Lepisosteus oculatus: one gene and its partners. The protein of the gene in region 3 purifies or fractionates together with the protein of the main gene of each other region. This does not show direct contact. Links are inferred from orthologs where the notes say so. Each region holds a gene or a part of one and is shown on either strand. Other genes may lie near its edges. The genes, in order: sec16a, sec23a, sec13 and mios.

Region 1 (7,186 bases), on a different chromosome or scaffold from region 3:
TGAGCATTGATCTCAGCTGATCTCATTGATTCCTCCATCAAACATTTCCTTAACCTGCTCATGGGGGCTTTCTTCAGGGCACGCATGGCTGCAATCTGAGCATCCGACTTCCTTTAGTTGTGAAGATAATGTCATGTTGGGACGCAGGCATCAAGGGAGAGACCACTTTCCCTTGTTGCAAGCGTGAGAGACAGCGAGAAGAAAACATAGAAGAATTCAGTACAGTACACGGCATTATGGGTTGTAAATAACCAATCTTTGCAGCAACAAATCCTATTAGATCAGCAGAAGTGCTGACCAGGAATGAAAATTCACCACTCTATTACCTCTATTAATTATATAAAACTATCATTTATTATTATGACTAAGCTTTCAAGGAGACTTTTAAACTGTCATGATGGAATGGTGTAATGTTTAAGAATGAGCTACAGCTGCACAGAAATGGGATTATTCACCATTTGCAGCAGAGATGCCCAGTTTTAGATCCTGTTCAGTGGGGTTTACAGGTCTCATCAGCACCTGAAGAGCTAGGAGAACCTCTTTCATCCATCCATTTTCTACACTCTTCTACAAATTCAGGGTCATGGGGGAGCCAAAGCTTATCCTAGCAGGCAACAGGCATGAGGCAGGATAAGATAAGATCACTTTATTGGCCTTATGCAATTTATTGCATTAGGAATTTGTGTTTTCACATACTCCGACTTGCTCTCCATGAGTTACACAGACAGGAAGAGAAGCTTGGGGAAAGAGCACAGGGTCAGCCATTTATACGGCACCCCTGGAGCAGTTGGGGTTAAGGGCCTTGCTCAGAATTCCTCTGCCAGCCACAGGATGCAAACTGATAGCCTTCCAACCAGAAGGCACAGATCCTTAGCCACAGAGCCACGGCACCACCCCTGGGACACTACCTTCAGCAGGGCAAACAGAAAACAAAAACAGACACACACACTTACACCTTGAGCCAATTTTCTCAGAAGCCTATTAACCTACTAGCATGGTTTTGGGCTGTGGGATGAAACCAGAGCACCTGGTAATTCACGGTCATGCCTTTCAGACTGTGTAATGCCCCGGTTACGTTTTAGCAGTTGATGGAGCGAGTGCTGGCATCAGTCCACTAGAGCGAATGCTTTGTGTATCTAGACAACCTACTCGTGCATGCCCAGGGTTTCGAGCAGGCTCTGGCGAACCTCTGGTTAGTGTTGGCTTGCATCCGGCGGGCCGGGTTGAAGCTCAACCCTGGGAAAGGTTACTTTCCTGGGTCATATGGTTGGCCCGCGAGGGGTGTCACAGACCTGGGGAAGATCGCTGCAGTGCGTGACTGACACCATAGCAGAGCTCTGCAGTTTCCTGGGGTTGACGTCTTATTACCCGAAGTTTGTCCGGGACTTTGCCAGCCTCACCCCCCCACTGCACCGCCTTACGGAGAAGGGGTGCCGTTTTGTGTGGGACATGGAGTGTGAGGGGGCCTTCTGGGGGCTGCAGAAGGTGCTAGTGGGGGCCCCTGTCCTGGCCTTCCCAGATCCGACGCTACCATATGTGCTAGATACTGACATGATGCAGGGGTGGGCGCAGTACTAGCGCAAGAGGGTCTAGATGGGGAACGGGTCGTTGCATATTTTAGCCTGGCGCTCAGCAAAGCAGAGAGAAACTATTGTGTCACCTGGAGGGAGTTGCTGGCTGTGGTCTCGGCAGTCTGCCACTTCAAGCCCTACCTGTTTGGAACTAGTTTCAAACTGTGGATGGACCATGCGTCCCTCAACTGGCTGCTAAATTTCAAGGAGCTGGAGGACTGCCGCTACTGCGCCCAGTGGGAGCAGCGTGAGGAGGCCACCCGTGGTTGGGGGGAAGCGGCCATTCGGTATGGACCTTGTGAACCTGGCACAGCAGCAGCGGGAGTACCCCGACATTGGGCCAGTGCCCCATTGGAAGGCAGCTCAGTTGGGAGGAGCTCACCTCTCACACCAAGTCCATGAAGGCTCTCTGTGCTCTGTGGGAGGCCTTAGAGGTAAGGGACGGGGTGGATACCCTCCAGCGGCAAGGTCAGGTGGCAGCTTGTAGTGCCACGATCGCTCTGCGGGGCAGTTCTCCAGGCGGTGCACGGTAAGCCGGGTGTGGGGCACTTCGGCTCCGCGAAAACCCTGCGGTGACTCCAGGGCCACTTCTATTAGGGTCTCTGCCACTGGGATGTGGGGCGTTTCTGCCAGACGTGTGCGGTCTGCGAGGCCCAGAAGGGCCCTCCTGAGCGCCCCTCCAATGGCACCAGGTGGGGGAGCCCATGGAACAAGTGGGGGTGGACATATTGGGCCCATTTCCGGGGACCGAGGTGGGCAACAGCTCCGTCCTGGTGGCAGTGGATTATTTTAGTGGCCCAAGGCTTACCGCCTCCCGAATCAGAGCATGTCCACCATGGCCGATGCCCTGTTGGAGGGAATGTTCACTAGGCTGGGGGTGCTGGAGGAGCTCCATAGTGACCAGGGGTGGAATGTCGAGTCTTAGGTGTTCGTGGGGGTGTGCCAGCGCCTGGGGATTAAAAAAACGTGGACCACCTCGCTGTATCCCCAGAGCGACGGGCTGGTGGAGCATCTTAACCGGATGCTCTCCACTCAACTGGCCACCTTCGTCTTGTGGCACCAGCGGGACTGGGACCGCCACTTACCTCTCACCCTCTGGGCGTACCGGACCGCTGTGCAGGAGTCCACTGGGTGTGCAGGAGTCCACTGGGTGCACTCCAGCCTCGTTCATGCTGGGAAGGCGGGGGTGCAGCAGAAGCGGTATTACAATCTGCGCTGCAGAGGGACTCCTTTCAGACCGAGGGACCTCGTCTGGGTCTATAACCCACGGGGCCGCAAGGGGCTCGGCCCAAAGCTGGCGCCGGCCTGGGAGGGACCCTGGGAGGTCGTGGGGGAGCTCTGCTACCGTGTCCGGCTCACGGCTTGGGAAGCGAGGGAGGGTGGTGGTTCTGCACCGAGACCGCCTGGCTCCCTCCAGGGCTTGCGAGGGCTCACTTGAACGGGAGGGCGCAGAGGAGTCTGGGGAGCAACCAGGTCCAGATTTCACCGTCCGCGGGGCCTGGAAGATTTTGTGTTTAACATAGCCAGGTTTGTTGCGTTGCGGCCGAACAGCACTCGGCTAAGGTGCGCAGCGAAGGGCAGGATGGGTGTATTAACCAGGGCGAGTACTAAGGGAGCCACTGGCCAGTGTCACTGACCATCTGGAACAGGTGTACACCACTGTAAAGGTTGTCCAGATCCCTGCGATCCCCAATTTTGCATCCCCTTTTATACCTGTACCCACTTACCACCCTATACCTACGTACCTGTACCCCAAATGACCCTAGTGTGTTGTACCCTGCTTTCTCTGGTTTTTACTTCCTCTGTTGTTGTTGCTGTGCCGGACGCACGTCCGACTAATATAGCACCGAGTTCTTAACTAATAGAGCTAATTAAGTTCCTGTTTCCATCCTCGCCAACCCCGTCGCGCTACAGTACTTTAGGAACAGGAAAACACATTTACAATGATCAGACTTAGTTAATTCCCAAGAGGCTCAACAGTCCTTTGAAAACACAGACAGACGGTTCACATTATAGATTTGCAAATTTAGTATACTGTATTTAAAAATTGTGTATTTACTGTATAAATAACACAATATCATTTCCTTGCGCAAACGTAGATAATAAAATGTATTTGTTCATTAGCAGATAAATTACATACTTGCTTTCTCATAACAGATTTCGATGTTCGTCACACTATAAGCATCCATCGCATCGCATGAAATAAGGTCTTGAGCCCGGTATTGCCCTGGACTATATTAACAGGGTTGTGTATACACTATGTCAATTATTTTCTTTAAAAAAACGGACTCGGTCCAATTTAATATCTCGGGTTCAGATGCAAGTTCATCTTTTCTTACAAAAACATTACACGTTGATGTACTCTAGGGGCGCACTGTTCGATATAAATCGTCCATTTCCGGTAGAGCTCGGATCGTGCCTCGTTCTTTTCTATTAAAAATAATTATATTTCTTTTTAAATCATTTAGACGCATATGATTTTATTGTCAACAACCAAAATAAATACAATTATGCAAAATTACAACATTAACTGCAAATTGTACATGGTTCAAGGCCTTCGACTGTGACGCCACGGTGTTTGGGATTGTGACGTTAGAGGTACACGTCGCCTAGCAGGATGTAGCTCTGGTTGAAGATGGCGGCTGTGTGTTTGCCTCACGGTTCTGCAGTCTTGTAGGAATTCCTATTTAATTCCGCTTTACTGGCCGAATTGTGTTGTTTCTTTGTCGTCTCCAGGAGGTCGGCGATCTCGTTCTTGAGAGGTAAGATGGATCGAGATGTACAAGCGGTGTGGTGCAGCACTGAGTTCAGATTTGTATAATGGGACTGGGTCGGGATTACCCTAGTTTTAAAAGGCACAAGATCTGTTATTATTCCCCCCCCCCCCGGCAGAAGTGGGGGCTTTAAGGAACTGACAGCGCATCCTGTTAAAGATCTGGTTTGGCATCAGACCATCGATTATCGGCGAGTTGGACATCTTCACTCTCCCCAGTCTGATGTACAAACGGGCTTCGTGAAAGTTCGGCACTTGCCTGTTGCAGACGTTCAGTTAATCATATGTGATGAGTCGCCGATATCCTCTGCTTGTTGACTTTAAACACGACAGCAGCATGTTAACGATTTGCTACGAGTCGCCGCTTTTAACGGCAGGTTTCGCAGTGGTGTTAATTATAAAATTGCTTGAAAAATTTAAATGTTCCCTATTCGATATTGAAACGTTCCTTCCAAATGTGTCAAATAAATAAAGCTGGAGAAGATAGTCCTTTTCGCTATTTTTTAAGATCGCAAGGTCGGGTTTGATCTTAAAAACATTTGAGTATTAATTTGAGAGCTTCTCACTATTTGCTTATTTTTGTGCGGGTGTCGTCTGATAACATCTTAAATTTTGCGTTTGTTGTAGCTCTAGTGAGGAACAGAGTCCTTATGCTTTGGACTTTAGTTTCTACGACTTAGAAACCCGATAGGCACCCTGACTGCAAGTGCGACTTCAGTAATTAAGTTGTATTACAATATTGTAACACACGAATAATAAGGATTTAGAGTTTGGAAACCAAAAAAACGTATAGGTGTTTGTTGTGGTGTTCGATAGTAAAGAATTGAAAATTGCAAATCGCTAAATTAACCATTGCAAAATAACCTGATTCGTCTACATTGTATTGTATTGACTCATGATGCTTTTGAGAGTTATTTTAGAGCAACAGTGCAACCGACGGGCGCCAATAGATGAGGGTGAGAAAGTTAGTCCTAAAGCAGCTCTTTAAACGCTGTTTGTGAGGACTACATTAGCCACAGAAACGTCGCACACCTGAGGCTGACGTGGAATTCCATCCCGTTATTAGGAAATGCAAGCTGCTTCACAGTGTACGCACAACCCAGTGGAGAAATCTATATGTGTGCAGTGAATCCGAAGACAAATGTCTATAGGACTACGAAGGAGGTCTAGTTACTGGTGGTTGAATTTTTTGCTGTGGAAGCCAAAATGATTCTATATAATATTAATTTTCCTGTGAAGGTTCCATATACTTCTTTCATATACTGAAAGAAGTATAATGAGTCACAAGTGGTGGGAGTATGGATGAACCTACCATCCATGTATCTGAGGCTGATATCCTGGCTTCCTTCAAGAAATGGCTGGATGAGATTTCTGATCAATGAGTTACTAACCAAAAGGGTTAGGTGTACAGAATATACACTTTATCTTGTAAGTCACAAACCACTTTCTCTATGATATTTGGAGTATATTTAAAGACGAGCTGCAGTCCCAGTTTCTCAGGCTTGTTATTAAATCTTGATAAAATAAATTCATTGACGGTATAGACAAATTGAACAAATTTCGAAATAAGCACACAATCGTGAACTTTGTAAAAGTACTGAAATGTCGCTGTGCTGTTGCACACCCCTGGTCTTGCTATAGACGAGAGCATGATTTCTCACGAATTGTGACGTAAAGCAGCCCCTACTGCTCCCTAGTCACTGTAATAACTAATGTAATGTGCAAATTAAGCACAGGTTGTGCAGCCGGCATTTCACCACAGAAACTTTCCAACATAATCTGCAATCAGTTTATCAGCAAAACCATCTTGAAGACGAGAGCAGTATTTCTCTTGGATTAAAAGAGATGTATTCACAAGCCTGCTTGCTCACAGTGTAATAGGGCCCCAACACGTCACCAGACGTTTTGTTGCCTTGTTCCAAATCGCAGAATATGATGCTGCGTCTACCTTTAAATTTTATTTTGTGATGTAAATTGGAGGATCTACAAGTTACTGTACATTTTACTTTTATTGTGGTTTGAAGGGCACTGATTTTGTAACCTCAAAATATAAAAAAAACATTGCATTTCCCCTTTTAAATATGTTTTTAAACTGTGCAGTTTAATGTTGAGGTGTTCCTGTTAATCACACAGAATATCCCAGCCTCCTAAATATGCAGTACTTGAAGATCACATACTGTAATTCATGCAGTCACTTTGTTTGCACAGGATCGTGGTCTATTGTTGGTAACCCAGTCTCTATAAAAACTGTCTTAATTAATATTCAGTACATTCCTCAAGAAATTATTAATGATGTCATCATTGCATTTTTGTTGGGTTCAAAGATCCAGCACTCATTTTGCCATGTGATAATGTATCCATTTAAATAAGAATAGAAAGTTCGCTTGCCATTCTTAATGTTTTGCAGCCTCTCTTATTAGTGAAGGGGCAGTCATCTTATAGTTGACAGTTGTAAAACTTGCAACTTGGGAATAAATAACTCAAGGCTTTGTCAACACTGGTGTGACAGATCTTTTGGTGGAATCACTGAATCCCTAACTAAAAAGCTGTAAATCTTAAATAATAATATGGCTTTAGTTTAAAAAATATTGAAGAACTACTGTGGCAAGTGTACAAAATAGATAGATAAGACTTTATTGATCCTGAAGGGAAATTGATGTGTTACAGCAGTCTGGCCCAAGACAAGCAAAAAAACAGACATCGGAATAGAATACAAATTATAATATGTACAGTAATACAGAGTAAATATAAAATAAATACATAGGTGTGTACAAAATATGATCTTAGTCACTGTAAAAACAATAAAATATATGCAAAATGTGCATAGGTATAAACAGATTGA
Region 2 (7,253 bases), on a different chromosome or scaffold from region 3:
TGTATTTTCAACATGCTGGCCAATTTAAACATGGTAAAAAAAGACAAACTCAAAGGTGAAATTGACTATGAGCGGACAAAAAAAGTGCAGCCTTGCTCACTACTGAGGTGAGGAAATAGAGACATGATGTATATGTGTGCAAGGAAAAGAGATTTCTGAAGACAAAGACAGACCAATAAATTAGGTTCCCGACATGTAATTTGCAATATGGAAAACAATTCACTGGCTCATGCAAATAACTCTTCTCCTCTTCCCCGGAAAACAGCAGCACCCTACCTGTACGACATATTCAATCGTAGAAAACTGGTGCAGAAGCTCCGCTGGTTGGTTCATTTCTGAAATCCCTGCATAGGTTGGAGGAAACTGGAAAAGCAGAACAAGACAAGCACTTAAAACTCCAGCCGCGAGAGAAAATTAAAGATCTTCCAATTTTATCATGTCTGTATTGTTTTCACCTGGTTCCTCTGGTAGCAGAAATTACAGGCCCACAGCTTTGCTCTGTAATCCACTTGACTGGTAACGGAAACAGAAATAAAGATGACACACAGCGCAGTAACGCAGGGAAATACAACGACTAAAAATAATCTGATTCATCACACCACACTCTACCCAGTAGCCGGTCCGCCAGTGCAACAAAAAGACAATAAATGAAGGGCCGAGCTGTTTAGTGACCGCAGAGACGCGGTCTGAGCTTTGCTACACGTTGTCACTGAATTCCTTCAGTCTCACACGCCCAGATCGGCTCTCTCATTAATACAGGAGTGCAGGACCTTAATAACACACTCGGGTTCTTTCCTTTGGTTGGTAAAAAATATCGCCGAGGCCTTTTCAATCCCATTTTTTCTTTTTAATTCTCCGGCGGCTCATACCGTTTTCCCATTGAAACTTGACAGCAGCCCACCTGTTAGCACGCCCCAGTAAAACACCCCCCCCCCCGAGAGCCAAGCCACAGGTTCGCGCCGCGCAGACCAACAGCGAGAGTCAAGGGCACAGCGCAGGAGAGCAGGAGCGGGGCCCTACCACAGCGGGTTCAGAACCGCCCGGCACGTCGCCCGGCTGCACAAGACGGGCTCGTATTGAATGGGTGGCAGGTCCGGGCGCTCCTTGAGGGGGGTCAGAAGGGTGGCCACGGGGACCACCATCCTGGTCGCCTCCAGGCGGCTGGAGGGCCACACGTTCCAGCTGAAGCGGACCCCATCCCGGTCCTCGTTCTGCTGGATGAACTCCTGGAACGTCGCCATGGCGGCCTGTTCGCACTAGGGTCTGTAGGGAGAGAGGGGAGAGAGGCGCAGGGGGTCTCACAGAACCAGAGTAAAGCTCTCAGAGAAGAGAACTGGTCAAGAGGGACACATACACAACGGACAGACCCCGGGACTTTGTCCCAGCCTAAATATCAAGTCCTCATATAAACATACTGCAGTCCTGCAACTTTCCGGTTCTTATGATATCCAGGTCTTAATTCAGGCGGACCACACACTTGGAACAGCTGGTGAAACACTGATTTTGCCAGGCTGGGTGTTGGATAACTTTTGGGCAACTGTGTCATAAATATAACTGGGTTTATTTTGTTTTTGGCCCAGAGCTATACAGCTTCCATGCTATAGGTCGTTTCCCAGATATACAAGTTTATCTTCGCATTTTTAACACTTGAAAACGATCGCCTGGATCTTATGAGAAAATTGTACACAACCTCTCCTACAGCCTTTTCCTTTGAGCACACAGAAACTGAGCTTTCGCGAGCGCCATCAAGTGGAAGATTTAGGAAACAACAACTATAATAATCCACCTTAAGGTTAAAAGTTTTGATGTGGTGGTCATGTAATACACTTTTATTAGCACCGACACAAAAGTCAAATCCAGTCCTGTTTACTTCGGAAAAACGGCCTTAATTCGGTTGAGCTACAAAACCAGACAGAAACGTCTCAGTGATTCGTACTTGAGAGAATAGGATTTCAAGACTGATCTTGATTGATCAAGCAGGCTTCCGTTAAAAGAATTTAAAATATACAGTTGAAATAAAGCCCGTTTCCCCCCAAAAGCAAATATTCACAACTTTCACCGCAAAACAAAATTAAGAATACGAACCACGATACTGGGGAAGTCTTTACAACGAAATCAACCGACCGGTTCAGTTTTTCGGCTGTGCCACGATTATTGATCATCTGAAAATAAACAACCACGGTTCTGCAAAAAGCTGGCAAGCAGATCGGCCTGGCTAGTAAAACACACACACACAATGTCTCTCGTATGGGCTCCAGGCCAGAGATTAACCGGACTGGCACCGTGAATGTCTCATATTGGGCAACTTCGCCAGCTCTGCCTGAACTCTGAACAGACTGCCAACACCGCACTGATTTGCAAACACGCGTGCAATAAAAATACATTAATATCACGCTCAGAAACCCCATTTCCTGCACACAAACCCCTTCACCCCAAACATTACAGACACCGCACCACCACTACCTTCCACTCGGAGAGAAATAAAAATACCCCATGCGTGGCTGTGAAAATAGCAAAGAAAACATTTTTAACATCGCTGCTCGGGGGGGGGGGGATATCGCTCTCGGGACTCCAGGCAAGTCGCTTCAGTTGCAACGCTTTGCCAGCGACGAAAATTAGTGCACACTCACTCATCAAAGAGAAGAACAACAACGATTTCTCCGAACTACCACACCCCCCTCGCACGACCGCCTGGACGAGCTGCGGGCAGCCGGCTGCCCAGCAGCCTTTTCTGGGCTTGAGATGTTCCAGCGCCCCGGCGCCAGCGAAGACGTGCAGCCCACAGCACCACCATCCGCGCCGGCGGCGTTGGTCATTTTCTTTCCCCGGGGCACACTGCCTCTGATAGCAGCTCCCCCGTACGCCTCTCCGCTTTGACACGGTCTTTTCTGTAAATATTTGACTTACCTGCCGAGCCGCACGTCGCCACTCCAGCTCCTCCCGGGGCCAGTGCTGCATCTGACAGCACAGCCCGCTGACGTACCCGACAACATGGCCGCCCTCGCCGCTGCCACGTCAAGGGGGAGCCGCACAGGCTTTTGCAACAAGCCGGTCTGCGTGTGGCTCCCTTCCTCAAGACCCGCCCCCCGCCGCGTCCTGGAGGGCTGTGAATCTCCTTCGCGACTAATTTTAAGGACATCTCTTCAAGAAGGCTTTATTCGAGCGTCAGTACTACATGAACACAGTACAGACTCCTCACCATCATGTAACGTGATGGCCCCTGGGCATTATAACTACTTCCACCTCAGGTTCAATTCTCAACTCACAATGGTTTTTTTTTGGAAATAGATTAGTGAATAACAATGTAAATATTTGTAAATTAACATTGGATTTCACATCAAACTCCTTCCTTGCACCATCACTATCGACTGTACCTGCTCCCTCGGCAGAAATGAAGGTTTGCTCTAGACCTTTACCAAACCCTGAAACGCGTGACAGCAGAAAATTCACGTCCAATTATCAGCACCTACTGTACATAATCCTCCCTTCGAAGCATAAAAAGGTGTTTTGTTACATTACTTAAAACATCCCACTTTCAAGGGAGAATGATGCATTAAGTGTTTTTATGACCTAAAACCATTTCCTCCAAACCAGTTTTTTTCCCTCAATGACCATTCTCCAAAGAGGTCTCGTCAGTCTCCAAGAGATTTCATTCAAAAATATTTTTACAGAAGAACTCAATTTTTCTCTTTAACGAAGAAGAACGGAGCAGAACTTCACAACCCCCCACTCGCAGACCAAAGCGAGCCAATCTTCTGCTCTGCTTACCTCCAGAACTGAATGTGTACAGTAAGTCAACATTTAAAAAAATATTCTACCCCCCCAAATAAGTACACCGAACTGAGAATGCATACCATACAAATTTTATTATACAACACATTTCATGACAAAATATTGTCACAAACTAGTCTCATTTGATGCATTTTCCACTAGTAACACTCTACTTCTTGCAAATCAGCCAAACGTAAAGTTTATCAGATGTAACAATCTGCAAAAACCTGTATCCCAATCGTGAATCCCATGGATCCAGATTAAGACTGCCGTTTTCTTATTAGACAAATAAATCTGTGCATTTATTATTAACCAATTCACAAAAATTGGGAAGTGAATTCTAAAAAAAAAAAAAAAAACGACTTATTCAGCGTGTGAATAAAGACGACATTAAACGCATGAGATTAAGGCTTCAGTATCACATATTGTTGAATCCCATCATTCCTTTCATGTTCCCAGCCGCCCCTTGCTGAAACTGCCTCATCATGGACTGAAGGCCAGCCATCCCACCTGAAGGAAAATAATTTAAAATGTAGCTCTTTCCACTACACAAACGTAACATTTCTAAACAGCAGCCGGAAAACTGCAGATTTCACAATTCAGTCACTCAACCCTTATAAGAACACGAACAAGGACAAACCCGGTTCATCATTTGAATTGCTGTGCTGTCTTACAGGGAAGAGGTAAATGTTCAGTTAGACTTCACGTCTCACCCCACACAGGTACGTGCAAAAGCTCCCTAATGCAATCTGTTCATCTCATCTGTACCAACTGGAGTCAAAGCTCTGTGCGCAGGAGTGTCCCTGCGGACGCTGCGGTGCTTCAGGAGCACGAGGTGACCGTCAGGCACGCGAGAAGACAATGACAGAGGCATACCCATGTGGTGAAGAACCCTGGGGTCCATCATCTTGGCCATCTGCTGATTTAATTTCGCCATCTGGGAAGGATTGACATTCTTGGACATGTCTCCACCTATGAAGAGAGGAATGTACATCAGCACACGCTGCATCTTACTGCAATAAGACTCGACAGGCATCAACTGACTGATAAAAGAAGATGCTGAGACCTACTTAAAGCCGTTTTTAAACAGATGAACTGAATTAGTAATATAGTGCGAGCAGGCACACGGCGCATCACACAGCCGTCCGACAGTGCCAGGGGGTCTCGCCCGCGCACTCGATCGCTAGTCTGTGCCCGTACCTTTGAAGAGCCCCTTGATGCCGCCCATCTTCTTCACCATCTGGGCGAACTTGGTGTACTGCGTCAGCAGCTCCTGCACGTCCCGCGCGGCCACGCCCGCTCCCCGCGCCACCCGCTGGATCCTGGTGGGCTGCTTGCTGAACAGCTTCGCGCCGTCCTTACTGTCCAGCTCTGCCGAGGAGCAGACGGCCCGGGGTGAGCATGCTCTGAGACTGCGGGCGTACAGGGATTCCCCAGAGCTGTGCGATCTGCACTTATGCCCAGTGTTCAAGAAGGCCAGTGGCTAAACCACTCAAAACCATCAAGGACACTAACATGAAGGAAACTTGATCGGGACGATTAGGCTGCTGCGATATCTCTTTAGAAGTGACTAACACTTAGCTGCTGTAGCCAAAAGTTACAGAAATCCCATGGATTCTACTAAAATACTCAGATCGCAGATCTCAGCTGGGATCATAAAACATACTGCAAATTCAAAGCAATTAAAAAAACATTTAAAATACTTTTTTTTTATGGCTCATAAGTATCAAATTCACTTTGATACCTTGGAACCACGTACGATACTTACCTTGATCGTTCATGCTGTCCATGATGGTCATGAGTTTCTTCAGCCTGGCCATTGACTCTTGCTCATTGCCCTTACTCATGAAATCTGTTCCAAAGCCTGGAATCATGCCCTGCAAATAGCAGTTCAGACCTCATTTAGAAACTAAAGAAACTTAATAATCTCTTACTCATAAAGGGCCGAACTCTTATTAATTTAAGACATGTTTCCGAAACTCCAAAAACAGAACACAGCTGTTCAGAAAGCAGTCTCACACAGTGCACCCTGAATTTCCACAGACATTTCACACTTCAAGACAGCTCTTACCATGATCTGGCTGAAAGGCCCCATTTTCATGATATTCTGAAACTGCTCATACATGTCTCTCAGAGTGAACTGCCCTAAGGAAACGAAACAAAAGAACATGATTAAATGCTGCACATAATGACTATTCATTTGTGTCTGGAAAATATCCGCTTATGAAATGAAGCAAACCTTTTCATATATGAACACCACCTTAAGAAAATATCATGTACTTTTTTGTATAAAATTAGATTTTGGTGAAAATACAGGTGTCAAGGTCTCTTGGAAGGGGAAGGTGAGGCTTTATTTCTTTATCGTGACCCTTACTGAAGCTTGTGGTGAATGCTGACTCCTACAGAATGACAGAAGTCTTACCATGTTTAAGCTTGTCTATGAGCTCTTCATTGTCATCCAGTTTTAGCTCATTGACCTTATCTATTAAACCTTCAATGTCTCCCATTCCTGCAAACAACAGAGTAGACATTAATACAGTTAATATCACAAGGCTTCAGTCTCACAACACTGTAAACAAGCCAAAACAAATCATACTCCATGTACAAAAATCACCTATCGATTCTCCTGCAGACACCCTTTCACCTCACCATGGTCTGAAAGGGAAACAATTCCTCCTCGTTTTCATCAGATTTCTGAACCTTTAACTGGGTTAAAAAAACCTCACCTATTGACATCTAATTCCTAACCAGTTACTTCACTTTTTTCATTGTATTCCCAGAAAAATAATTCATACTGCCTCTTAGTGCTGTCTCCATGAGCTCAGGTGAGTAGATGGGGAAAAAGGGCAATACGTACCCAGAAGCTTGCTGATGAAAGGTTGTGTTTTGAATGGCTCAAAGTCATCAATGTGCTCTCCAGTGCCGATAAAGATTATGGGACTTTTGGTAGCAGCAACTCTGAAAAAGGGGGATGGTGAATTTGTGACTTTTCCATGACTCTTTTTTGGACCTCTCTTAGGATTCAGAGGAAGCCACAAAAAAATAAGCTAAACTCTGTGTTTAAAGAAAATGTGTTATTACATGTGAAGAATGAAAAAAATAACAGCAATTTTGATTGCCATTGCAAACAGCAAAAGACACAGATGACATTTAAAAGTCACAGCAATAGCGGAGTTTGTAGTCAAAACTATTGCATTCGGTATCCCAAGGAACCAGCCTGCTGAGCTTCGACAACCACCACACCCACAATGCCAGCAGACAAGCCTGTTGCCTTTGCCGAGATTGTAAATCCTTCTGGATACGAAAGGAGAAACATCACACAACAAGAGTTTCATCTTGTTACTATAAAGACTGGTTACAGATGCAATTCACACAGTTCTACACAAACTTCTCACTACTTGAAGCAGAGTCTTAAAACAAATATTAACAGATCCTAAGCAGGTCATCCAAAGCTGATATGTTGCCTTTCACATTTATGACTA
Region 3 (7,656 bases):
ACATGGACAGTTATCCTTGTATATGATACATTGATTGGCAATGTTATCCTCACTTCAACTCCCCAGTACTTTCAAACACAAACTACAGCAGCAAATAACGGTGACACAGGACTAAAATGGCATTTAATTCCAACACATGTCAAGCACTATAACAGTTCCTAAATCAAAAATGTTTTGATATAGTACGGTACAGTATTGTATAGACTTCAGTAGGTAAGTGAAGCCCATTATATATTTCCACTGAAGAATCATGAACAAGGACAAGAAAGTAGTTATAGCAATTGGCAACCCAGTTTGTATTTTATCACACTAAGAAAGTATGTAATAAGGCATATAAAATGCACATGAGGAAATTGCTTACAGAAAATAGCAAGGCCAATAATTATGTGATCTAAAAGTGGCTGAATTAAAGAATAATGGGGAGTTGTTGTCTAGCTTTGGCAACATGTCCCATCACTGAATGTTAAATTTTATCATTTAGTTTTGATTGTGTAAACACAAAGTAGCCTTAAGAAGCAATAAGGAATTAAGAACTGCCATTAAACTTTAGATTCTTTACTACTGAAACCAGCTATGTACTCCAATTCAGATATTTCTGTACCAGGTGATATCTCAATACAATGTTTCCTCATTTGTTTAGTTTGTTTTATTAGCAAGGAGAAAATGAAAACATTCGTAATTATACAACTTATTATTATTATTTTAAGAATCTTTGTTTCTGTCCCTTTTTTTACCACTGACTAGTAGGAACTATTATATGTACACATTGTATACATATATTTGTATATAGAGCTTATCAGATTTCATTAAAACATTTCAGATCCAGATCTGTTAAAAGACAAGTGGTTTAACAAAAAATAAAAACCTGAATTGGAAGAACTTATTTACTCTTAAGAGACGCTGTCTTACCCACTCTGTGGCCGGCCTGCCTGCTGATGGCAGCCACACACTGGATGTAGGTACGTGTGGTGGAGGTGGAGGCGTTTCGGGTGAGCTCGGCCAGCAGGTGATCCATGAGCTGGGTGAAGACAGGACTGCTGCAGCTGGGGACCAGGTGGCTGAGAGCAATGATGCCCCGCTTCCTCACTGCCAGGCGGGGGCTGGTGAGCTGGGGCAGCAGGCTGCTCAGAATGGAAGGGTGGAAGATCATGAGGGTCCCACTCAGCCTGTGGGCAGAAAGGATATAAGAGATGAATATGGGGTCAGGAATTGACAATGTCCCCCGAGACGTCCAGGGTCCAGTGTTGTGCATACTGCTTATATTAGCACAATACTGTTCATCAAGATAAATAAGAGCAGATGATGAGTTTCAAGGTTCAGGCTGGAATTATAGGTAGAGCATCTGAGTGTGTTGAAATACACACCATTACTTGTATACTGGCAATGGCCTCAAAGGTCTCTGTATTAGACTGAGAAGAATGTAATTTACATCTTTATCAAGGAAAATAACCACCTACAGTATTCAGATCATTATTTAAAGCAATAATGAAAAAGTCAGCTAAGGAAATGCCTTGCTTCAAAGCCTTTGTGTGACCTTTCTTCTCTAATAGAACAGAACTAGCAAAGCTGGTAAGTGCTATAAAACTGTTTTAAAAATTATTTTTTTAGTCAGTGCTTTAAAATAATCATTCCAGAGACATGGATAAGAGTGGAGATGCCAGATAAAACTAACAAATAGTGGAAGACAATATAATAAAGTTTCATTTAAGTAAGATACAACTACAGTGAAGATTTACAAATCACTTCTGTGACACAGAGTGAACGTCTCCTACCTGCTCAGCATGTCTGAGAGGATATCCAGTGCCTCCAGCTGTATGGACACATCCTCTGTTTTCCCAATGGTTGATGTCAGCTGTGTTGTTATTTTCTTACACACATTTGCTGTCAGAGCAGACCCTGAAAAATGTAGTATTATTTTTACAGATTCCATCACTGTACGTTTTTGGAGTAAAATGTTAACTGTTTGGTTTTAGATTTTTAAATTTTAAGATTAATTTACTTGATAACGAGCAGTGGATTTTCAAAATTACAATTTCAAATTGTTCACTTGGAAGTTCATCATTATCCATGGCATCTTGGGTATGCAAACATCTCTATGAAATCTCCAACCCCAGTCCTAATACCTGCAGTAACACTCACCCTAACACAGTTAGTTTTTGGTGAAATCCATGACATCAGGATGAACAGCAGATGGCTGAAAGAATCAATACCTTCATTATAGCTGATCGTAATAAGATCATGAAATCTCTTACCACTGGAGGATGGAGGAAGCTCAGCAATGACTGTTTTCAGGCCCATACTTGAAGTGTCTCGTAGTTGCTCTTTATCTGAAAGCATGTTGGAACACAGCGTGTCCACAATGGTCTCCACCTGGTATTCTTTCACCTTACTCACCAGTGGGCCCAAGCTTAAACACACAAAACAAAGAACAGAAAAATCAACAGTAACAGCTGTCTGTTCATTGCAAACATTTTTTTTCTGTGTGATACACTGGTTTAATTTATCCTGAATGTGATATATGCCCTTGACGTTTTTAGAATTTGCTCCAGTTTAATATTTAGTCCAACTATTGTTTCTTAGGAAAATTAACACAACTCTTTTCAATGACCGCTTTCTCTCTTGTTAGATTTGCACCTTGACTGTTTACATGAGTTTCAGAAAGTCAGCTCTGGAGCAAAAACCTCTTTGAAAATCACACTGAATGTCGGTTGTTTATAATTCCCTGTCAGCGGTATGGGATTTAAAGGATTGTGGATACTTATTAAGCTCACTCACCATTTGACTGCAAGGTTCTGAACCTCTCCATTCTTATCTTCCAGCAGCCTCAGGAGCATCGCAACCACCTTCTTCTCACTGTCTTCATCTAGCTTGATGGAGTCTTTCTGGAGCTCCATCATCAAGTCATTGGTGGCCATGAATCTGAAAGCAGATACCCACCACTGTCATAATCAGCACCACTACTATTCCAACAGGCCCCTGACACTTTCTTCTGAGATGTCCAGACCTCCGAGGGGCGAAATCCAAAAAGCAGAAAGGGAGGGTTTGAGTGAGGTGATGGGTGTTACACTGTTCACAGGGGTAACAGCAGTGATGTCCACACGCAGCTCTGCATAACCTAAATCACGTCATCATTGTCTCAACAGAAAATATATCAATCTCACCCATCTCTTCAGATGATGAAGCTTTCAAAAGACCTGCAAAACCTGCAGACACCCTCGCCTTCTATGACCAGGATTATAGAAACATTGGGGAGTCCTTTTATCTAAAGCAGTCATAGAAATCTCATAGTTCTCACTTCTCCAATGATCTACTGTGTAAGTGACTTCTTCTGCATAATGACTAATACAAGTCACCCAGCTGGCTGCTTTACACCAGTGGTGGGTTAAGTGGGTTCCCTTCTTCATGTAATACACTTTGGGATCCTTTATATTTAAAAGTAGTAGAAAAATTCAATGAATCATTATTATTGATGTTGTAAATGGTTTATATGTCTGCTAATACTCTGTTTATAAACCGTTGGCAAGGGTTCTGAACTGTCTTCAGTAATGAATATAAATAATGAATACACAAGAAGAAGAAATATATTTCAAGAAAACAAAATGCATGAAGGATTTTATCCTTTGTATGAAACAACTGTCATCTAAATTAGATGTGGAATTAGAGACCACATAATACCAGTCACTCTGACATTAAAATATGTTTTACAACTATCCATTTCCATAAACCAATGTTGTATGTTTATTTTTCAAGTTAATTAATTTTACTGCAGGCAAAAAGTTTAGTACCACATAATATTCATATCAAATTTCCTGACGTTTAAAAAATATTATGGCTAATAATCCCACACACTTAAATCCATCTTAAAATGTGAGGATGGACTGAAGCAAAATGTAAGACGCTCAGCTGACAGACATTTCCAATGTCATTTCACCTTTAATTTAGCTATGCTCTAGGTTGCATTAAAACATGCAAACTAATACAGTCTTACCTAAAATCTTTATCAGTAGATGTCATTTTCTCCAGTAGGTTGGAGATATGATAAGTCACACTGGCCATCTTTTGAGTTTACCTTTGAAACTTGTATTCACTCTACAATCTTTTAAGTAAGTATAGCAGAAATTTCTTTTAGTTTACATGGAGAACATGGCGAGGGAGAGACAAGAGTGACGCTTCAGGGTAAGAACAAACTGGAAAACCTGATACTCGGCACGCAGCGATATAAATAGCTTACAAATTGACTCGCTACTAGCACCGCCAAGTGGTATTAACGCCTATTGCAAGAAAGTCATACTTTTTAGAACTCACAGTACGGTCCTGTCTTCCAGGTAGTGTTTTAGTTTTACGTCACCTTTTAATTAAAAAAGAAAATTTACTATGGTTATTTACGATTATTTGTCTATGTAATAATATAGGTAATATGTATGGCTCTCTTGACATAATGGGTTTGTTTTAGTAATTAAAAACAATTGTTCGCCCCTTTACGTTGGAAGGAAATACTTGGTCATGTTTGTATTTGACGATAAAATGTATTGCAAGAACTGTGATAATGCCACTTGTGTTAAATGTGAAATTACGCCATGTAGACTGCGAACTTTGTAAACAGAGTATCAATGTTTGCTCGGAACTCTGTATCGTCGCTCCTTGTTGTAGCCCGACAGAAGGAGTGGGGATGCTCCCGGAAGTGGAGTTGAGTTAGAGAAGAAGTGGAGTTGCCACGTCTAAGAGAGGAAAACGGCTGGAGCGGGAGACAAAATTGACTAAACGAGATATTATAAATCCAATTTATTAATTGTTTTTAATAAGAGCGGTCATTTTAACAGTAGTCAGCACAAATATGGTGAGTAAATCTATTTTTAATCCTTGGTAGAAGTCTCATGATGGCGATTGCATTTAAAGTTTTTGATCGGTTTGCAGAATGTATCTCATTCATTGAAAAAAATGCTTGATTTTACACTTACGGTTATAGCTTCAATAACAGTTGAAGCAATATCTAGATTTCTGAAGCACGTTTAAAGACGAGGATGAATGTCATAAATCGTTGATTTACGAAACGACAATCGCCACGTCTAAACGTAGATGTTGGACTTTGAGATAACAGGCGCCTAAGGTTTGGAAAAACTGCCGACCTGTGATTGTAGAGACATTCCTGTATTGATTTATGTTTTCAGTAATTAGTAAACAAAATATTGAAAACAATACATAGCAGTATTGCGTGCAGTCGCTTTATAAATTTGCACGGCGTCTTTAGAGTCATATTGTTGTTTTTGCCTAGTTGCTAGCTTTGTTCATTAGGAACCACAGTTTAATATACTAAAAAAAAGGTTTGGTTTCATAAGTAACCTCTACATTGTAATATTAATAGTTATGCAATTTTCCCTCTTAGGTTTCAGTTATAAATACTGTGGACACGTCCCATGAGGACATGATCGTGAGTATTACTGCTTTTCGTAATTATGTGAAATGCTAAATAACCACTGTTGTGTGTTTAGTTGAGCGGTTTGAGATCGCTGAAGAATGCAGTTTCGTTATACTTCGTTAAAAAGTCCTCTATTAGTTATTGTCTGTTGTTAGTTGTTAAAAGTTTCTACTGTACTATACTTTTTTGTCAAGCAGCCAGGAATTGAAGGTGTCCAGCTGTTTTATGTTTCAGAATTTCAGCACTTGGACACTACCTGACCCTGTCTGCCCTTATCTTCTTTGCCATGTATTTTTTTCTCTTGCCAGCATGATGCTCAGATGGACTACTATGGTACCCAGTTGGCTACTTGCTCGTCCGATAGGTCTGTAAAAATATTTGATGTGAAAAACGGAGGTCAGATCCTGGTTGCCGATTTGAGAGGGTAAGTTCTGGGATGGTTTTCTCACCGTTACTAGTTCAGTGGTATTTTTCAGACAAGTATTTTGCTTCTTGGGAGATTTATTCCCAGAGGAGTCAGGTAGTGTCTGTTCTTAATCATCTGTTTTATCCTTTACATGAGGCAACCACGCACAATCCTTAAAGAGGCTGTGCTCCTGGGTGTAATTAGGTGGCGCTCACTCCTATGCCATGTGCCTCACTTGTGTTTTGATTGTGTAAATGGTTATTTTGTAGCTGTAAACTTCTATCCTTTCATGGAAACATTTGAGAACCTCTTTTGTTAGTTTTTTTTTACATTTCTGCTGATTATGAAAATATAATAATACTGAAGCATTTTGTCCTTACTTTCCTACAGTCACGAAGGGCCAGTCTGGCAAGTGGCCTGGGCTCATCCAATGTACGGGAACATTTTAGCGTCCTGTTCCTATGACAAGAAGGTGATCATATGGAAAGAGGAGAACGGCACATGGGACAAGATGTATGAGTACACAGGCCATGAATCTTCAGGTAGACAGACTAACTGACAGGCTATTGCTGCATTTCACCTTTTTGCGGACCATTTTAGTTTTTTTTCTATTTGCTGTCCAGCACTTGGGGTATTTTTCTTAAGTTAATGATAACTTCATATCACCTTTTTGTAAGGCAATATAACCATTGCCACAAATAGGCCAGACGATTACACCAATATCTTTTCCCTGTTTTAGCTTTTGAACGTTACCTTTGATTTCAGTCTTTACTTGTGAATGACAGAGACAAGATAACAGGTTGAAGTATAAGGCAATTCTCGTTCTGCATGCACAGTGGCAGAAAAGTGGAATTTACATCAAGCACGAACTTGAAATGTTTGTACATTTGTCTACAGAAGAAGAAAAACATGATTTTACATTGTACACATGCTAAATTTCTACCAGTACCTTAACAGGATAATCGCCACTTGTATTAGCAAAATGAACCAAAAAAGAGACCTTTGAAGTAATATTGAATAAGCTAACTTTAATTAAAATGGGTTAGTCTTGACAATGGATCTTTAGTGCCCTAAATACTGTTATTGATCTTTGGTAATGTCTTAAATGTCGAGTAATTAAAAGACTTGAAGGTTCTATTATGAAAATAAGATAAGGGAGATGTAATAAAAGCATGTGTGTATAAAGTGGTTGCATCTCAGTAAGTACTTGTGGTGCATGGTTGCCTTCTAAAAGCTGCCCTGTGTCTCTGTCTCGTACTTGAAGTAAACTCGGTGTGCTGGGGGCCCTATGACTTCGGACTGATTCTTGCCTGTGGCAGCTCAGATGGTGCAATATCGCTGCTCACTTACTCCGGGGATGGGCAATGGGACGTCAAGAAGATCAGTAACGCACACACTGTAAGGGGCCTTTAATTTGACTTTTAAGTCATTTTTTTCTCAATCTTAAGTGTCACTTGGTTAAAGGTTGTGAGTCCATAAGATCATCAAAGAATGTTTAGCTCTTTCCTTAAAGAACAACAATGAAAACAATAAAAGAAAGCTCAGCTTATAAAATTTTGTTTGTGTAAAACTGCATTTAATAGTAATTGCAGTAGCTTGATCAACAGCATATATATATATGAAATTATATATAAAATAATTCAAACGGTGTAAATGCCAGAATAAACTTGCAAAATAAACAATATTTGGCACTTATTTTCTCTCTCTAAGATTGTAAGAATTATAGTACATTATCAACTCAGTGGCCCATACCAAACATAGTGGATTAAAAAGCTGCATATGGACATTTTTATAGAATGGAGTATGGTTTTGTAATGTTAATTGTTCTTGTTTT
Region 4 (7,194 bases), on a different chromosome or scaffold from region 3:
CATTTTGACCCTTGGAGACATTCTGGCCAGCATTCAGTCGATGAGATCTGGAGTAACCACCAAATGCCCTGTCAATCTCCAGTGCTCCTCTCTCAAATGTAGATAACAGCAATGTGTGAAGCACAACTTTCCACACCAGATGTAATAAAAAGACCAAATGATGCCAACATAAAATGTTAATTAAATATTAATACACACTCAGGAATATGAACACGGCTAAGACTACATAAGCCATCAATATTACATAAATAAATGTTAAAAAGGATATTTTGTGCTCATATTTCTCAGCTTTCTACTAAACTTTTCTTATCGAAAGTTCAGCAAAGTGTAAAGGTTCAATTTTGCCAATTTGACCATAGTGGTTTACGCAGGTTTATTTATGGCAGGTGTCTCCTTTTTATACTGTGCTTTGTTTTGCTTCCTGACAAGTTCATCTCATAGTGTTTTCATTTATTCTTTTTTCATTCTAAAGCAAATGGGTTGTAATCTGGCTGTGCGTTAAAGCTCATCATTAATGATGAAAAATAATCCATAACTTCAAGTTTCCCCTGTGGTATTACCTGAATGCGGAATCACCAGAATGTGTTTTATATGCGTTAAATACCTGACTGGATAACATGTTTAATTTATTTATGCTCACAAAACTTCGGAAGAAAGAAACAAGTGTCACTTGCCACAATTCATTGATACAGTAGTAATAACAATAGAAGCAGTATTAAAATAGAAATAATCAGAATGAATGGTAAGCTCTTTCATACTGCCATTCCTAAACCGCTTGATGTAACAAGCATTACCTGTTACAATATTGGAACAATTATTCTAAAGTTGTCAAGGTACAGATGCAGATGCATTAACAAACACTACTTTGTCAAGGCTTGCCACCATGTAACAGCTGCACTGCTAGAAGCAAAATTCCCTCACCATTCAGTATGAAATGAGATACAAGATCTGTGTTTTATTTTCAAAAAGACAATCCAAAATATTCGTTTTGTGAACAGATACTAGACAGAGTGCTGGTATAAAAGCTGATTTTTTTCCCAACATTTACATTTGCTTTACTTTCTGAAGATTTTATGAATGTACCCTACTTTAGCTAATGACCTGCGTTTTTTTTAAATAAAATTCTTTCCAAAAAAATATCCTCACCAGGTGCTTTGCCAAAGGGTGATGAATGAATTTTATAATATTCTCAACACTTTTAGTTTTGAGCCTTCACTCCCCGGCTCTTGAAAGAGTGCAAAATGACAAATTCAGAATCGTAACTAGACAGCATCTCCTAACTATGACGAGACTCTCTTCTTTTGGGAGGAAAAGTACTGAGTTTCCTGTGGACACCACAAAAGTAGAGTTTACTTCAGAATCCTCTCTAGAAGGTGATGTGCAGCCGTGCAACTTTCAGAATTCACACTCCCTTTTAGAAAATAATGTCTATGCACTTCTGACCAAATATTTTAAATGTCACCTAAATTTAACAAAAATAAATATTTATAGTCATGTGGGATAAGTATTTGGGAACAAAGGTCCAGAATATTTTTCCCGTGGGACCACGGAATGTGTGATAGAGCAGACGGGGAATAGCAAGAGGACATGTTGAACACACAGGATCTTCAGAGACACGGGAGGCACTTCTCTACACAAAGGGTTGTGGGTGTATGGAACAAGCTACCCCAGGCAGGCAGGTGAAGGTGATACAGTGGCTTTTTTTCAAAAGCAACACAATTAAGTTCTCAAATGAATTAGCTACTAGCAACCTAATGAGATACATTGGCCTGGATCGTCTCTTTGATTTTAATCTTTTGTAGGGTTTATGCCAGCAACTTAAGTATCTTTATGTGCCTTGCCAGGATCGAGCTATTCCAAAATCAGAGAACTCTCGGAAACACTTAATTGCTACCACAGACACTTGGCTTTTGCTATTTTCCACCTCCTACTCCAAGACAGATCTGACAAATTGAAAAACTTTAACTTCCCACAAGAACAAATGACTAAAACTAGAATTTCGTACTAGGAAGCCCTTTTGTGCTTTGATATCTGTTATGCTCATACATCATGAACCCTCCCACCAGAAAAGCTGAAGTTAAAGAAAAAATAGATATAATTTGAAACATTTCCAGAAGCCCTTTGAGAATTATCTTTCCAGATCTGAAAAAACCCCAGGATTTTTATAATGATGTTTTTATGTTGATTTCTAATATACATTACTTAAACATGTTTATCTGGATGTGCGTTAAAGGTCATTATTAATGTTGAAGAATATTCTGTAAGTAACAAAAATGCATCCCTCAAGAAAAGACCCCTGAATGACATAAACAATAGAAAGGGAACATTAGAGGTTAAAATTGCTCTGAAAAAAGAAGTTGTGATGTCTATTTCTGATGAAAACATGACTTGTGTTCAGCGTTGTGTTTTTTTTCTATTTCAGCGTGGAGTTTACTTTCCCTTGTTCCTTCGCTGCTCCGAGCTCTAAGCTCCAAGCAACAGAAACATGCTTATTTTAAAACTAGACAAGGCACTGCGTCTGCATATCTTTCTACACGTCAAAAACAAGTATCCCATTGTAAACATGCGCCTAGATTCTTGTCTCTTGCATATCGTTAACTGAAATCACCCATGAAGAGGAGGATTGTCATAATTCTCTTAAAAACTGTGACGGGAGAACATTTTTGCTGGGGGAGTAATTCGAATCTAATAAAACAAGCCTTTAACACTTGGTGATGAGACACCCACTCCTACAAGTACACACTAGCTATTGCCAGCTCCCAGGAATTTGTGACACGTGATTATTCAAGTGTACACAGTACATGCTGCTTTTGCACAAATTACAGAGTCTAATGATACAGATCATTCAAAAATCTCTTACTACCGGAACAGTTTAACGGGAGGGTTTACTACAGTTGTGCTTTCAAGTGGAAATCACGTGTGTGTATTTTTCAATGAAGCAAGTTTCCTATATCTATTATCATTACGCCAAAAACGGGCTAAAGGAAGGATGTGACACAAACCTAAACTCTGGAATATGATTTTAAAATAGACTAAAGAGAAAAAAACTGTTTCCATATCTTCAGACTTTGATATGGCCAGCAGCCATATCACCCTGCAACTCACATCTGGCAACCCACTGAAGCTCAGCAGGTGTGATGCAGGATGGGAGGTAGGTAGGTGCCTTTTCGGGCCATAAAGGCCCATGGGGGGCAAGGGCTACCATTTTTCTCAAACATCTGACACTGGAGGTGGCAGCATCACACTCCAGCTGGCCTGTTACCCCCAGAAGGATTAACCCCCTGGTACTCATTTGGAAAGCAGGCTGAGTGGACCTGGGAGCCGTCTGGAAGGAATTAGAGCAAGCAAAATCACTTACCCCTACCTGGGGTTGAACCCGAGACCTTCCAGTCAAGAACTAGACACCCTTGCTGCCTGAGCTACCACAGCTCACCGGGATGGGAGACCTCCAGGGAAAAACTCAGATTGCTGCTAGAAGAGGTATTAGAGAGTCCAGCAGGCGGCGCTCATCCCCGCGGTCTTCTTGAGTCCTAGTTGTGGCCTGAGTGACGGGGACACTATACTGTAAAAAGGCGCCGTCCTTCGGGTGAGACGTAAAACTGAGGTCCTGACTCTCCGTGGTCATTAAAAACACAGCGTGTGTCTTGGAAAGAGTGGAGGTGTCCCCCCGTGTCCCGGCCGAATTTGCCCCTGGCCTTTACCAGTCATGCCCTCCTAGTAATCCCCATCTCTGAACTGGCTTCATCACTCTGCTCTCCTCTCCACTGAGAGCTGGTGTGTGGGGAGAGGACTGGTGCATCATCCAGGTGGGGCTGCACACTGGTGGTGGTGGAGGGGATCCCCATTACCTGTAAAGCACTTTGAATGGAGTATCCAGGAAAAACACTATAAGTTATAGCACAATATAATCATAATAATTATTATTATTATTCTCTCTTCTCTTTTCAACATGGAATAAACCTATTACTTGTTCCTTATTATTTTTATTATTAAAATTCACCGACTTGTACAGTATTCCTTATAAGACACATCATGTGTAGAAGAATGCTAAACTACATATATTATTAACATTATACGCTATTTGGTACTTCTTTTTCTTAGATTCACATATTGGGCGTACATTCAAGCGCGATGCGGTAAGCGGCGCTGTATAATTTAACTCGAGTCCTGCGCAAGAACTGCCTGCCACGTAACTTGTTTCCCGGGGAATCATTTTGGTGTAGGACTGTTTTGGTGCCCGATGCTACTTTAATGTAAGAAACAAAAACATCGTGAGTTGCAACTGTTACTTTGTGCGTTTCGCATTTTGTCGCGGTGGCTTATCGTTATGGTGCGCATATAGTTTTGTTAATGGAGAAAGGATTTGCTTTAATTGTTTATTAGCTTGAGCTGCCAGTAGCGTGTTTCAGAAGTTTGCAGATCATTTTGTGTTCACGTGAGAGGTTATGATTCTAGATAGAAACTGCGGTTATAACATGGTTTGATTCAGGTATTTCCTCCCTGCTTCGGGTTGTCCGGATTTCTTAAGAGTTAATATTTCGTGCACGATTCTCTGCAAGCGCGGTACATAGTAGCTGCCGTCCTTTGGTCACGTTCCCTTAATCCAGTCATAAAATAATAATAAAAGTTGGGAAAACACGTTACTTTTCCTAATTTTAGTTGTTGTATTTGTTTCCCCCAAGTGATCCAGTGATGCCTGGATCTTGAGCTCACTGGAGCAGCGGTGATTGTTACTCGCCCAGGAAGATGAGTGCCTCGAAGCCCGATATCCTGTGGTCTCCCCATCACGTTGATCGCTATGTCATCTGTGACTCGGAGCTCAGCTTGTATCGCATCGCGTCGCTGGGGAGCGCGGAGACCAAAGCCGGAGTTCTCCAGCTCTCGGGAGAGACAGCAGCGACGCTGCTGGCAATCAATTCGGACACCCCGTACATGAAATGTGTAGCCTGGTACCCCAGGCCTGAGCCCGAATGCCTGCTTGCGGTGGGGCAAGCGAACGGACGCGTGGTGCTGACCAGTCTTGGGCAGAGCCACAACACCAAGTGCAAGGAATTAATGGGCAAAGAGTTCGTCCCGAAGCACGCCAGGCAGTGCAACACTTTGGCTTGGAACCCTGTGGACAGCAACTGGCTGGCCGCCGGACTTGACAAGCACCGGGCCGACTTCTCTGTATTGATCTGGGACATCAGCAGCAAATTTGCCCCCGAAGCCTCTGTCCCCACCGAGAAACTGCGTCTCTCGGCTGGCGACACCGACGCAGGCCTCGTGGTGACAAAGCCCCTCTACGAGCTGGGTCAAAATGACGCTTGCCTGTCCCTCTGCTGGCTCCCCCGGGACCAGAAGCTGCTTCTGGCCGGCATGCACCGCAACCTGGCCATTTTCGACTTGCGAAACACGAGCCAGAAGATGTTTGTCAACACTAAGGCCATCCAGGGGGTCACTGTTGACCCCCATTTCCATGACCGAGTCGCTTCCTTTTTCGAAGGCCAGGTGGCCATTTGGGATCTCCGGAAATTCGAAAAGCCGGTGTTGACCTTAACCGAGCAGCCGAAACCTCTGACCAAAGTGGCTTGGTGTCCCACCCGCACCGGACTTCTGGCCACCCTGACCAGAGACAGCAACGTCATCCGTCTGTACGACATGCAGCACACCCCGACCCCCCTCGGCGATGAGACGGAGCCCACCATCATCGAGAGGAGCGTGCAGCCGTGCGAGAACGTCATCGGCTCCTTTGCGTGGCACCCATCCAGCCAGAACCGCATGGTGGTGGTGTCGCCCAACCGCTGCATGACGGATTTCACGGTGTTCGAGCGCATCTCCCTGGCCTGGAGCTCCAGCACCTCCCTCATGTGGGCGTGTGGCAGGCACCTGTACGACTGCACGGAGGAGGCAGAGGCCGGCTCCCTCGAAATGGACATTGCCACTAAAATGAGGCAGCGAGCGCAGTCCAGATATGGCCATGACACTGAGCAGATCTGGAGGAACCACCTTTTAGCCGGTGGGGATGATCCTCAACTGAAATCTCTCTGGTACACTCTGTATTATATCCTTTATAGTAAAAAGGGTGATCTGTGACACGCCCGGTGATTCTGTCTGCATCTGAGTCCACATTGCTGTGAGCATCGCTCTGCACTTGAGCATCGCTTGCTTGTCCCTTCCTCTCTGTGTTGCGGTTTTTAATGAAACAGCCAACATTCCCCAGATCACTGTCGAGAGACTGATTGATTGGCTGGAGCTCAGTAATATACCAACTCCCCCCTGCCAGAACCATCATAGTCTCCGATGTGTGGTTTTTCTGTAATATATCCTCTTAAATCCAAATTACAGAGACTGTAAAACAAAGCATAAAAAGTTATATATATATATGTATAATGTGTTACTTTTCTTTTTGAATTGTATTTCTAGGTTCTATTTAATTGTATTTAAAGGTTCAGAGCACTTTTTATTTCAGTGTTAATTTCCTATGCATAAACCACTTATGAAACAGTACACTGAAGACCTGGAACAAAAGAACTTGGGGAACAGATTGCCTCTTGTCTATTCAGGCATAAAAAACATAGTGAAGTCAAGCTCAGGTAAGACATTTTTAACACACTTTTTCACTTCACACCGAATTGGCAGTGTCTTATGATTGAGTTGGTCTCCTCTTCCTTTCGATCTTTTTCTCTAATAGTGATTGCAATAGAACATACGGTTTCTTAGAAGTGCCCAAAAGCCCAATTTAAGTCATTGGCGTTTCATTAAAAGGTCCAGCAGTGTTTTAAAGATGTTACCACAGTGCAGAAACAGAAAAAAACGAAAGCAGTATGAACCTGTGCAGTGAAGTAGCTTAGCTGCCTGTAGATAAGCGTTAGGACCAGATTCTATGGGCAGCAAGTACAATATGATCAGTGTAAGTGTTGAGGAGCTACAATTAAAAAGGTGCATTTTATGTATTGCGTGTGAGATAGTGCTGTCCACATGAATTTTTTCTTTTTTAATTAATTTTATAATTTTTTGTAATCTCTTTCCCCATTATGCTCCGTGCACAGGAAATAGGCCTAGTCTTGCTCTCGGGAGGCTTTGGGGTGTCATAGCTGCCCGTACTCTTCTTTAACACTTCTTTGAAACTATTGGCAGACATTTGAGCTTCAGTCCCATCACACTGCTTTCTATCAAATTGTTGACCAGTGCTAACTGACAGATTGTGGTATC

What was found.
Region 1: the proteins of sec13 (region 3) and sec16a purify together in Homo sapiens (co-immunoprecipitation; 4 studies listed by BioGRID and IntAct, counting the BioPlex papers as one, with this or other methods). This does not show direct contact. The link is inferred for Lepisosteus oculatus from reciprocal best matches to the Homo sapiens genes SEC13 and SEC16A.
Region 2: the proteins of sec13 (region 3) and sec23a fractionate together in Homo sapiens (co-fractionation; 3 studies listed by BioGRID and IntAct, with this or other methods). This does not show direct contact. The link is inferred for Lepisosteus oculatus from reciprocal best matches to the Homo sapiens genes SEC13 and SEC23A.
Region 4: the proteins of sec13 (region 3) and mios purify together in Homo sapiens (affinity purification with mass spectrometry; 5 studies listed by BioGRID and IntAct, counting the BioPlex papers as one, with this or other methods). This does not show direct contact. The link is inferred for Lepisosteus oculatus from reciprocal best matches to the Homo sapiens genes SEC13 and MIOS.

What each region holds. Positions count from the first base shown.
Region 1 is NC_090719.1:5,263,929-5,271,114, forward strand, and holds the start of sec16a (protein transport protein Sec16A), read left to right. Parts: upstream 1-4,180; 5' UTR 4,181-4,333; intron 4,334-7,186. UniProt on the Homo sapiens protein: Acts as a molecular scaffold that plays a key role in the organization of the endoplasmic reticulum exit sites (ERES), also known as transitional endoplasmic reticulum (tER).
Region 2 is NC_090703.1:4,827,756-4,835,008, forward strand, and holds the start of sec23a (protein transport protein Sec23A), read right to left. Parts: upstream 3,023-7,253; 5' UTR 2,908-3,022; intron 1,264-2,907; 5' UTR 1,242-1,263; coding exon 1,021-1,241; intron 514-1,020; coding exon 456-513; intron 364-455; coding exon 277-363; intron 1-276. Other genes in the region: signal recognition particle subunit SRP54, read right to left, coding at 4,190-4,281, 4,648-4,743, 4,972-5,142, 5,540-5,648, 5,843-5,916, 6,194-6,280, 6,629-6,729.
Region 3 is NC_090699.1:58,913,201-58,920,856, forward strand, and holds the start of sec13 (protein SEC13 homolog), read left to right. Parts: upstream 1-4,637; 5' UTR 4,638-4,834; coding exon 4,835-4,837; intron 4,838-5,383; coding exon 5,384-5,428; intron 5,429-5,724; coding exon 5,725-5,840; intron 5,841-6,212; coding exon 6,213-6,364; intron 6,365-7,086; coding exon 7,087-7,220; intron 7,221-7,656. Other genes in the region: cand2 (cullin-associated NEDD8-dissociated protein 2), read right to left, coding at 910-1,166, 1,773-1,896, 2,253-2,407, 2,776-2,919, 3,989-4,056. UniProt on the Homo sapiens protein: Functions as a component of the nuclear pore complex (NPC) and the COPII coat. At the endoplasmic reticulum, SEC13 is involved in the biogenesis of COPII-coated vesicles.
Region 4 is NC_090705.1:3,822,354-3,829,547, reverse strand, and holds the start of mios (GATOR2 complex protein MIOS), read left to right. Parts: upstream 1-4,193; 5' UTR 4,194-4,253; exon of another isoform or gene 4,254-4,271; intron 4,272-4,307; exon of another isoform or gene 4,308-4,330; intron 4,331-4,682; 5' UTR 4,683-4,746; coding exon 4,747-6,043; intron 6,044-6,476; coding exon 6,477-6,575; intron 6,576-7,194. UniProt on the Homo sapiens protein: As a component of the GATOR2 complex, functions as an activator of the amino acid-sensing branch of the mTORC1 signaling pathway. The GATOR2 complex indirectly activates mTORC1 through the inhibition of the GATOR1 subcomplex.